3 linked regions of the Nothobranchius furzeri genome follow. The protein of the gene in region 3 interacts with the protein of the main gene of each other region in a pairwise test. Links are inferred from orthologs where the notes say so. Each region holds a gene or a part of one and is shown on either strand. Other genes may lie near its edges.

The links.
Region 1: the proteins of kctd1 (region 3) and polr1c interact in binary tests that used the Homo sapiens proteins (3 or more experiments, as listed by UniProt). The two-hybrid records come from large-scale screens. The link is inferred for Nothobranchius furzeri from reciprocal best matches to the Homo sapiens genes KCTD1 and POLR1C.
Region 2: the proteins of kctd1 (region 3) and exosc1 interact in binary tests that used the Homo sapiens proteins (3 or more experiments, as listed by UniProt). The two-hybrid records come from large-scale screens. The link is inferred for Nothobranchius furzeri from reciprocal best matches to the Homo sapiens genes KCTD1 and EXOSC1.

What each region holds. Positions count from the first base shown.
Region 1 is NC_091752.1:59,366,692-59,370,339, forward strand, and holds part of polr1c (DNA-directed RNA polymerases I and III subunit RPAC1), read left to right. Parts: intron 1-1,930; coding exon 1,931-2,080; coding exon of another isoform or gene 2,081-2,083; intron 2,084-2,203; coding exon 2,204-2,320; intron 2,321-3,648. UniProt on the Homo sapiens protein: DNA-dependent RNA polymerase catalyzes the transcription of DNA into RNA using the four ribonucleoside triphosphates as substrates.
Region 2 is NC_091746.1:82,295,712-82,299,855, forward strand, and holds the start of exosc1 (exosome complex component CSL4), read right to left. Parts: upstream 2,944-4,144; 5' UTR 2,897-2,943; coding exon 2,839-2,896; intron 2,360-2,838; coding exon 2,244-2,359; intron 442-2,243; coding exon 367-441; intron 1-366. UniProt on the Homo sapiens protein: Non-catalytic component of the RNA exosome complex which has 3'->5' exoribonuclease activity and participates in a multitude of cellular RNA processing and degradation events.
Region 3 is NC_091751.1:52,385,140-52,389,451, forward strand, and holds the start of kctd1 (BTB/POZ domain-containing protein KCTD1), read left to right. Parts: upstream 1-1,469; 5' UTR 1,470-2,225; coding exon 2,226-2,465; intron 2,466-3,044; coding exon 3,045-3,223; intron 3,224-3,889; coding exon 3,890-4,034; intron 4,035-4,312. UniProt on the Homo sapiens protein: May repress the transcriptional activity of AP-2 family members, including TFAP2A, TFAP2B and TFAP2C to various extent.

The sequences.
Region 1 (3,648 bases), on a different chromosome or scaffold from region 3:
GCCTTGAGATTTCTCCGTTGAAATAAATGGCCAAAAACAGAAAATATCTGGATAACGCGATCCCAGCCCACATTTAACTTTATGCCTTTTTATGCATGGCAGCCCTTCACACAACACGACTACCATTTTCTGCAGTTTAATAAGCTCACAACACACAAAGCGACCAGTGCTTCCTTTGCTTATGCACCTAGGTATCCCATCATGCAACGTGCTTCAGCACCTGATACGTCACCTGACGAGGACTGATGACTACATTGTGATTTCTTAGTAAATATTCTATTTAGTAAGGGATAAACTTTATTGTCTTTATCTGAGTGAATCTATAATTGAGTCAGCAGGTAAACTAGTAGTAGCACATTCCATGTCAAAGAAATTAAAAAGTTTTCAGGAGAGGGAAATATGTTAAAGTGGTTAGCAACAGTGTTAAAGCCGATGGCCCCCTCCATGAGGCCACCACGGCAAAGCAGAACACCATTGTAGCTTCTTCTGGGGAGAAAAACACTTAGGGAAAAAATAAAGTTGATAGCTGAAATAGCATGAAATAATGTAATTAGTCTTTTATCGTCTCTGTTTTATCATTTTAGTAATTTTTGCATGCATGTTTTATTGTTCTCTGCTCTTTTATTATTTTTATGTCATGTTCAGAACCTTGGGCTTCCATAAAGGCAGTGGAAGGTGCTGTACAAATAAAATTTTGTTGAATGATTGATATATTGAGCCACTGGGTATCTGGCCACGCACGCAGCTACATCTTCCACCCATTATATAACACCACAGGGATCCAGGAGTCTGTTGCCATTCGTTAAAATGAGTTTACTAATATAATTTTCAAGCTTTGTCAGCGATAACCCTGAAAAAGACTGAATTGAAACAAAATGTTAAAGGGTCTATTCCATCAATTTTTGCAGAATTAACTTTAAAAGTGATATAAACGATTTATGGACAAACCAGTGTTATTGTAATGAAGAAAACTGCAAAAATGTTGGTAATTGTGCAATTGACACAATGCCTAATTCTTTGTGCAAGCTAGCAATCGTTATATTGCCACCATTTTTCAAGAAAAAATGAGATTTTGGATTCTCAAAGAATGATATTTAAGCCATGTATATTAACTTTTGTTAATAACCTGTAGAGTGCACACAAATGTCAAAATGTTTTTATAATTTATTATTGTTTATTGTTCTCTTTACACTAAGACTTTGCAATCTATGCAACGTTAAAGTTTTTAGATGAAGAACAAGAGTAGACATGACCAAAATTGGATCCTCTTGGCTTTGGGAATTTTTTGATAGCTTTGCCAGTTAAGTGGCGATGGTGTACCCATTAATACAACTTTTTTCCTTATTTTGTCGACAAATGGAGATCTCTGAAGAAAAAAAAACTTTTTTTTCTGCATGTTTATTTAATAATGCAGGTTGAAATGACATTATTAGCTGAAAGAACAAAGGTGCGAGAGCATGCAGGCAGGGAGGACCCAGGTTAGAAATGGCGGACTCAGGGGCGGGGCCGGGTAGGAGACGCACGCTGGATGCTTTGGAGCCCATTCATAACTGCTTTGAGGTCTTGTTAGGGTTCCAAGCCTGAAGGGCAGGGAACCCAATTGTTTTAGTAAGCTTCTCTAGAAGCTCTGGCACCACTGGTGATGAACAAGACAGATAATTAGACGCATGTAATGAGTCCTCTCAAGTCCTTTGGAAATAGGTTTGGAATTTTCATGATGTGTGTGATGTTTTCGTCAAGAGTGACTTCTGACTAAAGTGAGATATTGTTTGCCCTGGGTGAAGAATGGGCCGTCATCATACGTGGGTCAGTGCTGCGTATCCACCCCTCCTCCTAAGAAAGGCTGCTGCTTGATGTTGTGTTGGCAGTAAAACATATTTTAGAGGTAGATTTCTGTATCAAACCTGTATGTGCTTCATTTTGTGCTCAGGCAGGGACCATGCTAAGTTCTCTCCAGTGGCAACAGCAAGTTACCGCCTCCTGCCAGAGATCACATTATTGGAAGTGGTGGAGGGAGAAAAGGCGGAGCTCCTGAAACACTGCTTCTCACGAGGTGTTATAGACCTGGAAGATGTTCGCGGTAAGAATTACCCAATAGAGCTAGAGTCAAGTGTTTTTAAAGAATTGGCTTTGTCATGCCGCATGAATTCCCCACACCAGTGTTTACCTGTAAATACTACATCACTATCCTTTGTTTCCTCAGGTAAAAAAGTGGCCAAAGTGGTGAACAGTCGACTAGATACATGCAGCCGAGAAGTTCTCCGACATGTGGATCTAAAGAATTTGGTGAAGCTGGGAAGGGTTCGAGATCATTTCATATGTGAGTTAGGATAAACTCCTAGAAATTACATCTAAGCACAGACATACAGGTGCTGGCCAGTAAATTAGAATATCATCAAAAGGTTGAAAATATTTCAGTAATTCCATTCAAAACGTGAAACTTGTACATTATATTCATGCAATGCACACAGACCAATGTATTTCCAATGTTCATTACATTTAAATTTGATATTCATAAGTGACAACTAATGAAAACTCCAAATTTGGTATCTCAAAAAATTAGAATATTCTGAAAAGGCTGAATATAGAAGACACCTGCTGCCACTCTAATCAGCTGATTTACTCAAAACACCTGCAAAGGCCTTTAAAAGGTCCCTCAGTCTTGTTTTGAAGGCACCACAATCATGGGGAAGACTTCTGACTTAACAGCTGTCCAAAAGACAATCATTGACACCTTGCACAAGAAGGGCAAGACACAAAAGGTGATTGCTAAAGAAGCTGGCTGTTCGCAGAGCTCTGTGTCCAAGCACATTAACAGACAGGCGAAGGGACGGAAAAAATGTGGTAGAAAAAAGTGTACAAGCTCTAGGGATAACCGCACCCTGCAGAGAATTGTGACGACAAACCCATTCAAAAATGTGGGGGAGATCCACAAAGAGTGGACTGCAGCTGGAGTCAGCGCTTCAAGAACCACCACGAGGAGACTCATGAAAGACATGGGATTCAGGTGTCGCATTCCGTGTGTCAAGCCACTCTTGAACATGAAACAGCGCAAGAAGCGTCTCGTCTGGGCCAAGGACAAAAAGGACTGGACTGATGCTGAGTGGTCCAAAGTTATGTTTTCTGATGAAAGCAAGTTCTGCATTTCCTTTGGAAATCAAGGACCCAGAGTCTGGAGGAAGAGCGGAGAAGCACAGAATCCACGTTGCATGAGGTCCAGTGTAAAGTTTCCACCGTCAGTGATGGTGTGGGGTGCCATGTCATCTGCCGGTGTTGGCCCACTCTGTTTCCTGAGGTCCAGGGTCAATGCAGCCGTCTACCAGGAAGTTTTAGAGCACTTCATGCTTCCTGCTGCTGACCAACTTTATGGGGATGCAGACTTCACCTTTCAACAGGACTTGGCACCTGCACACAGTGCCAAAACCACCAGCACCTGGTTCAAGGACCATGGTATCCCTGTCCTTGATTGGCCAGCAAACTCGCCTGACCTTAACCCCATAGAAAATCTATGGGGTATTGTGAAGCGGAGGATGCAATACGCTAGACCCAACAATGCAGAGGAGCTGAAGACGACTATCAGAGCAACCTGGGCTCTCATAACACCTGAGCAGTGCCACAGACTGATCGAGTCCATGCCACGCCGCATTA
Region 2 (4,144 bases), on a different chromosome or scaffold from region 3:
GCTAAGGGTCCTCAGAAATGTAGCTAGCTTTGTCACTAGGCGTTAGGAACAGCAACAAAGTGGCACTACCTCTCTCTCTGCTGCTAAAGCTACGGATAGCAAATGCTACGGGCGATGCCTGAGCGTGAACGCGCATGAAGCAGCCTGCTCGACCCGAGCATCTCTCTTTTTCTGTGATTTTACAGAAAAACAGGCAATCACAGTAAAAATGCCAGGGCTCATTCTACAGGACCAGGGCATTGCAGGAGAATGTATGAAGAAGACATTTATTATTTCTATACATGTTTTGGCTGTCACACTTCCATAATGCCCCTTTAATCAGAGACGTCTTTAATCTCATTTTAGAAAACTGTTTCCATAACATACCTTACAGGTGACAATGGCTCCTACATCTGGAAGTAGTTGAGCTTCTGTTTCTCTCACCACTGAGATCACTGGTAACTAAAAACACACAAATGCATTCATGAGTACAAAAGTCAGTAATAAGTACATTTAAATCTTCAGCAGTAGCTCAGGAAGTAAAGCGGGTAGTCCAGTGATCGAAGGGTTGTAGGATCGATCCCTGCACAGAATTCTGCTGGTGTGTCCTTGGGCAAGACACTTAACCCACCTTGCCTGCTGGTGGTGGTGGTCAGAGGGAATGGTGGTGCCAGTGTATGGAAGGCCTCACCTTTTTCAGCGCACCATTGGGAAGCTGTAGCTACACTGTAGCTCATTACCACCAGCAAGTGAATGCGTGTGTGCATGGGTGATGCCTTGGAGGGGTTGTAGAACCCTAGAAGGCACTATATCATTTTTGGTCCACTACAAAGCTACTGTATACAACAGCTATTAACTCTAGTCCAAATACCACAATCACCTAAATGGAATTAAACATTGTCCATCACATTAAGAATTTCATTTATATAAATTAGTACAAATGGATAGAGACCAAGCAGTGTTTAAGAAAATATGTAGAAAGAGTTGTATCATCACGGGTGTGAGCTTCACTGCTCATCTCAACATTAAAGAATTAAGCTTAAAAACACAGAAAAGCTTCAGAGTGCAAGAAAAACTGCCTAAAATTATGAATTCAGTCACATTCTGTCCAAGTCGTAATTCATTAGCTGGATTTTCTTATTTCACCTAATTTAGGCAGAGTAGTCGAGTTACAGATGAAATGAGGCTAACTGCATTTATTTTGTTTATTTTATCAAATGTGACACAATTTTGCTCCCTGGAATCAGTTTTAAACATTGAAACTTAAAGAGCAAGTCACCCCCTACCAGAGTTGTACTCCACTCCCACTTCATGTGTGAAAAATGCAACAAATGCTGTTGCCTGGCAGACCGAGAGGGCGGAGCCACTAACACACACACACACAGCATTGTGACATCATATGGTACCAACTAACGTTCTAGGGTACCTCTTAAGCCTGGGTCATGCTTCTCCGTCAGCTCCGCAAGGGACAGACACGCATGGATTGATGGAAGCGTTTTGCTCTCATACTTCTCCGTCCCCTGGAGTGTTGCAAAGCAATTCCCCGGCAGGACAACAGAGGGCGTAGCGCTGTTCTGTGGTATCCTGTCATTTATCGGTCCAAGATAGTGCGTTTATATTATGTTTTTTCATTGTCTTCTTCATGCGCTCGCCACCTTAAACCCAGGTTTCCTGTCATTTCTGTCCACAAATAAAATGCTTGCTGCGCATCTTTTCACTCCTCCAGTCACGGGGAATTAAACGTTCATATTTTAGAGGTTTTTCGCGAGGTATTCTTCAAGCTTCTCCGTGTCTGCCGCTTGTTATCCTCGGCTCTCTTTATGTTTTTGCGGGCGCAATGGCGGCGCTGTAGACAACAGCGGCGTCCTGACCAATCACAAGCTTGCGTTGTCCGTCTCGACTGACGGATGTTTAGAAAAGAGAGCTCGACTCCGTCCGTCCTTGCGGAGCTCTCCGGCAGGCCCGCAAGGACGTTGCGTGTCTCCACACTGACGCAGACGGAGAAGCATGAATCAGGCTTTAGCCAATACCGATGGCAGATTTAAACTCAAATGCAGCGCAGAGTTTTTACCTGACCATGGCACAACACTGACAGTTTTAGGCAGAAAATTAAAATTTTAACTAAAATGCACTTAAGTGCAAAACTATTGACAACACGGGTCTGCAGCACGATTAGATACACGTTTATATAGTTTATCAGACAAAATAAAGTTGATTTGGGGTGACTTGCTCTTTAAGTATATGTATTACATTATGATCCTCACCTTCTCGCCTTCGGTTGTCTTGAGCACAAAGCCTGCGAGTGAGGAGTAAATGTAGCCATGCCGCAGATATACTCCTGCGCCTGGATTACAGTCTCCCTCACTGCAAAGCTTGTCACCTGAGTGCAAACAGACAACAAGGGTCAGAAAACGCTACAGTAAAATAACAAACGAACAGTGTTAACATCACAGACATGAACACACCTGAAGAGCACAACCACTGTTTGTGACTTTAGTCAAACCCTCTCATTTTTAATGTGAGTTTGTGATTTAGTTGCCTTTCATTTCGTTTTATCAACATGGCAAACTGCTAATCCTGCATAGTCTAGTGAGTGATCGTTTTGTTTTGATGTAGCATAAACACAATTTAGTACTAAAGCTGGTTAGCGGATTTCTTTTGGGTGTGTGAACGAATGATAAATATGTGCTAATTCCACGCGTGTAGCAGTTGGGGCAACTTTAAAGCCCTCTGACTGAAGTTTAAATGCATACTTTAGTGACACATCGACGTCTACACGAGCTGGAATTGGTACGTGACCAAAACACGGTTCTAAATCTACGCAGTGCCTTGTATGGAACATTAAATCAGCGGACTCACCTGGAACACACAACTTCATGGGCGACATGTTTTCGACAAGAGTAGCTTGCGAGCTCATTGGTTGGGACGTCGTCTGGAGTCGATTCTGATTGGTCCGGCTGTGGAGACCGGAAAAGGGCGAAGGAAGGCTCCAGTGCTCATGTGCGAGAAAACGAAGCGCTCCGATTTGTACTCACACTCTCCGCGGGGTGTCGCCAACCTTTATGTTTTTGGTTTGTAAGGGAAAACTTGTTTTTACTTTATTAAAGATGAAGCACATATAAAGAACATTCATTTAAGTGTGTGAACAAACAAACATGGCTGAAGTATCAAATAAAGACCACAAACATCAAGAGAATCACATAAAGGGTAAAAAAACTAAAGGTTTATCAGTTATTTATCTTGCTGACAAGATAATATTTATTGAAAAGGAATATAGTTTCTGAGCTTTTGTTCTTTCATAACTGTTAACGATTTAACATAAATATGAAATTATTTTTAAAAGCTAAGAAAGTCTTTGCTTTTGCAGATGACGTTGTCCTGTTGTTGGCTTCATCAGAACGTAATCTCCAGCTCTCACTGGAGCGGTTCACAGCACAGTGTGAAGGAGTCGGGATGAGAATCAGCTCCTCTAAATCCGACACCATGGTCTTGAGTCGGAAAATGGTAGAAGAACTTGTCCAGGTCAGGGATGAGGTTCTGCCCCAAGTGGAGGAGTTAATGTATCTCGGGGTCTTGTTCACACGTGAGGAGAAGATGGGGCACAAGATCGACAGGCGGATTGGTGCTGCGTCTGCAGTAACGTGGGTGTTGTACCGATCTGTTGATTTCCTGGTTGATCTACGTTCCAACTCACACCTATGGTCACGACCTTTGGGTAGAGACTGAAAGAATGAGATTGCGGATGCAAGCAGCCGAAATTTTTCTCTGCAGGGTGGCTGGGCTCTCCCTTAAAGATAGGCTTGGTCATCCAGGAGGGGTTTGGAGTAGACACGCTGCTCCTCCACATCAAGAGGAGCCAGTTGAGGTGGCTCGGGCATCTAGTTAGGACGCCCCCCTGGTGAGGTTTTCTGGGCACGTCCAACCAGAAGAAGACCTAAAGGAAGACCCACTGGAGGGACTGTGTCTCTCAGCTGACCAGGGAACACCTTTGTATTCCCCCGGAGGAGCTGACCCAAGCGGCTGGGGAGAGGGAAGTCTGGGCCTCCCTGCTTAGGCTGCTGCCCCCACGACCCGACCCTCGATAAGCAGATGAAAATGGATGGGTGGAATCAAAGAAATAAGGGAAACTTTTAAAATTTTGCTCCTGTGAATAAAGTTTGGCAAT
Region 3 (4,312 bases):
TTACTCTCCACAGGCACACACACTCACTTTCACTCACTCACACACACACACACACACACACACACACCACCATCTCCACAAATTAGTCAGGGAACAAATTACCTGCATTCTGAGTGTGATCCCACGCACTTTGCAGGCTGCCTTACACAGGTCCCCTTTTGAAGAGCAGCCATGTGATTTCTCTCTCTTTTGCCCCGCAGGCCCCTTTGCCTTCTGCAAGGGATTCTGGAGTTGAATTTTAAAAACTATGTATGGCTGCTGCCTGCGCTTATCAGCGCGTGCACAAGTGGCATGCAAATCAAACGAGGATCACACACCCGCATTGGAGGCCTACACTCAAAGGCAAGCTTAATTGCTAATTGGGTATCTAGGTGTGAAACCCACATTGCCAATGAGAGGGAGGAACGTGGATGTTTTAAGGCCAGTGGTTGAACTAATTAATTTTAATCTGACTATTATTAAAAACTGCAAATTCTCTGCATTTTCTGTGGGGGAAACAGCCCAAGAGAGTGCTGTGGAAGGAGTTTTAACTGCAGTTGGACATGTCGTGGTTGGGATTTTATACCGCGTGATATCATCAGTGTAGATGTGTGATAGCGATGTGGTGATTAGAAACAGGGGCTGAAGAGCTAAACTGTGGCCAATAGCGCCAACAAGTGGGAGCCAGAGGGAGGCATTAACACACCTTCAGAGTTACTGCCCCATCCCTGTTCAGAATGTTCATTTACATCTATTGATTTATGCTTATGTTGCTTATTTACTGCAACCAATTTCTATGTATTAGAAGAACTATTTCTTTGTTTATAATGCTTTTTGACCATTATTCTTCAATCATTGTAAAGCCCGACCTTTACTCCTGGGTTTAATTAATAAGATTTGTGCAGCCATGAAATTAGCAAAACAACCAAAGGAGTGGGTAGAGCCTCCAAAAGTGTGTCTTAAAACTCCTCTGCAATAAATTCACTCTCATTTTAAAATGTTTGATGCACTGGAATATTGCATTCGGTAATAATGAACAAAACACCAAAATATAGTTTATGTTTAAATCTTATTCACTGTGAGGGTCATTGCAGCACGTGGAAAACCAAATTGAAGCTATTCCTAGTCACATTTAGCTGTGGAATGGCATCCCCTTCCTTAACCTGGAGCTTGTGTTTCTGGTAACAGCTTGCTGCTCAAATACCATCAAAAGACTCCTGCAGAGGATTCTGTCACTTTTTTTCTCTTTGCACAAACATGTCTTGCAGTGATGCTCTTTCCACAGATGCATGATCCTAACACAATTTCTAGTGATAATAAAGTAAAATAAATAAATAAATAAACCCACTATTCCTTATTTTTGTGCTGTTTATATGACAATATTGTAATTAAACAATCAAAAACATGTATGGGTGTTCATGTGCCACCCCCATTGCCGCCCCCATAACTACCAATTTGAAATTTGTCAATGCTTGCCAATGATTGTAGCTCTTAAGTGTCACTTTAAAAAAAATCAACATTGTTGTTATTGTGGGGCAGAAGGTTTCCTCTGATCTGTTTTTCAGAGCTGATTTGGACTGATTGAGAGAATAGGTGCTGTTTGATTGCCATGTTGTAGATATTTGTTTGATCCAGAGGGTGTGTGTTGGCCACAGCGTTTGGGTTGGTCACTGTTGAGCTTGTTTGGTGCTTTGAAAGAGGTTTTGACCCGCTAAACCAAACAGCTGCTGAACAAGGGGCATCAGATGTGATGAGGGGAGGAAGAGGAGGTGACCGCTGTTGCGCCTCCTAAAGAGGGCAAAGGCCAGCTGCGGTTGCGTCCAGATGTGCGCGGCAGCAGCAGCAGCATCACAACGTTTATCTAGTCGGGCTGGGTTTGTTTTACTCTGAAAATGCGACACACATACGTGCCAGTGAAACAGCGACAGCCCAAAAGAGCCTCGGGCGCCACAATGCTAACGTTGTCTGGGGCTTTGACTTCTCCCAGCCAGTGTGAAGAAGCTGCTCCGCGCGACAGTCACGGCGCTCCTCCGCCGCTCTTCCTCTCGCTCTCTCCCGCTATTCACGCTTTTTTCCTCCGTCCTACATTCTTTTTTTCCCTCTGTTAGAATAAACGGTCCCAACTCTCTCTCTCTCTCTCTCTCTCTCTCTCTCTCTCTCTCTCTCTCTCTCTCTCTCTCTCTCTCTCTCTCTCTCTCTCTCTCTCTCTCTGCGTCGATCGCCCTCTGAACCTTTAACGCGTGAGCATGATGGACGAAACGGATATCATGGATCTTACGCATCAGAAAGCGAAGAAGCGACCGCGTCCAATCAGTTCGGTGGATGAGTCCGTGCATGCGTCGCTCAAGCGGCTCCCGATGCGAGCGGCGGAGTGCAGGGAGCCCTCACTGATGTTCGCTGTCAGAGGAGAGCCGGTCCCCGCTGCGTCTCTGAAGCAGAATGATCACTCGGTGGCTTCCTCTCCAACCACAGTTATGCCAGCACAGGTAATACTAATAATGGAAATACTAAAAAACGATGTTTTCTTATACAAGTTAGAATTATTATTTTTTTATTTTAATTGCCTTCTTTCCATCATTTGTGCGCATATTTTTTTGCATAATATTGCCTTACTGACTTTTCTGCTCTTTCCTGATTTAATTTTTCGTTTTTCCGTTTTAGATGCACTGTTTTTTTTCCCCCTTTCACTCAAAAGTTTGAAACTTTTTTGGGGGGAGAAACAGCTATTCAGTCGCAGCTTATAAGAAAATTGTGTTTGTAGGTTAATATGAGACTGATTTTCCCACCAAATCCTATTATGGTATTCAAATCAAGAGTCATTATTGCTCACTTCCAAGAGAGATTGATGCTCCAAATTAATTTGGTTTTGGAGATTATGGCCCACAGGAGGTAGATGCTTGTAGACTGTGGCAACATTCAGGTCAAGGTCAGGCTGCTTCTATCCTGTTGGAAGAAAATCCTCCAACCCTGGCTGTGGAGTGGGAAGAAACAGATTTTTGCATCTGCAGTGTTTTAATTCTGTCGTCATTTTGAATTTATCTTTTCTTTTTTTTATGCTTTTCTAGGATAATCGCTCCAGCATGTCCAGACCCATGATTACGCGGTCACCAGTGTCTCCTTTGAGTAACCAGGGCATCCCCACACCTGCACAGCTCACCAAGTCCAATGCCCCTGTGCACATTGATGTGGGCGGACACATGTACACCAGCAGTTTGGCCACCCTGACCAAATTCCCAGAGTCTCGGTGGGTCTTACTTGCTCGATTTTCTGAAAAAACTCTCTGCAGTTTTAGGCTAAATGTGTTTAGCAGTGTCACGATTTCCTCAGAGTTTAATGTCAGCGTGTTTGATGTCATTATGCGACAGTCAAATGTCACAACCCTTCAAATCTCACAAACACACTTGGAACAGATAGAGATTTAGTGTCAGGTACTTATTTTTTTAAGCACTCAGGTGCATCAAAGCACTTCTTCTGGTGAAGTCGGCAGTTATTTTAAGGGGTAAACAATCCTGTGAGAACACAAAGTGCAGAATGCAGAGCCCAGACAAAAGCAACTTGCTTATTCTGACAGATGTCACGGCAGCAGCAAAGAGCCAAAGGGCATGGAGCCATCTGGAGGCCGGGAGGCCACGCTGTCGCTCCGAGAGCAGGCCTCAGGGTGACAGGCACCCGGCCTCGGGCAACCCAGCACCAGCTGGACCTGACCTCTCCACTCCACCTCTGATTTTAATCCTTTCTTTTCTTTCTTTTTCATGCACATATATTACTCAGCCTTTCTCTCTTTTTGTCTAAGCCTCCTTGTAGAGTCCATCACTACAGTTTGTGCTTTAATAAATCAAAATCTTAATCTCAACATGTTGTTCTCCCACCTCTCTCCCTCTCCTCCTCCGTCCTCCCCCTCCCGCTGTAGAATTGGTCGTCTCTTTGATGGCACGGAGCCTATAGTCCTGGACAGCCTGAAGCAGCACTACTTCATTGACAGGGATGGACACATGTTCCGCTACATTCTCAACTTCCTCAGGACGTCCAAGCTCCTGATTCCAGACGACTTCAAAGTGAGTGGGTGACCATCCTAGAAACTGTAAAGTGCCATCAGCTAGTCAGCAGTCCTGCAACTTAGCTCACACAATAGATGCTAAGGCTATAGATCGCCTTTGGTCATCGGTCTTCGTTGAGATGGTGAAAACCATTCTGGAGATAAAATATCAAGAATCTAACAAAAGAAATGTTGAATTTTGGTGACACCAGTGAGCATTTTTGCAGGTAATCACGTGCATTGACTGTATGGCAGACTGTGTATTCAATTTAATATGTTCTCCAGTGTCCATTGATG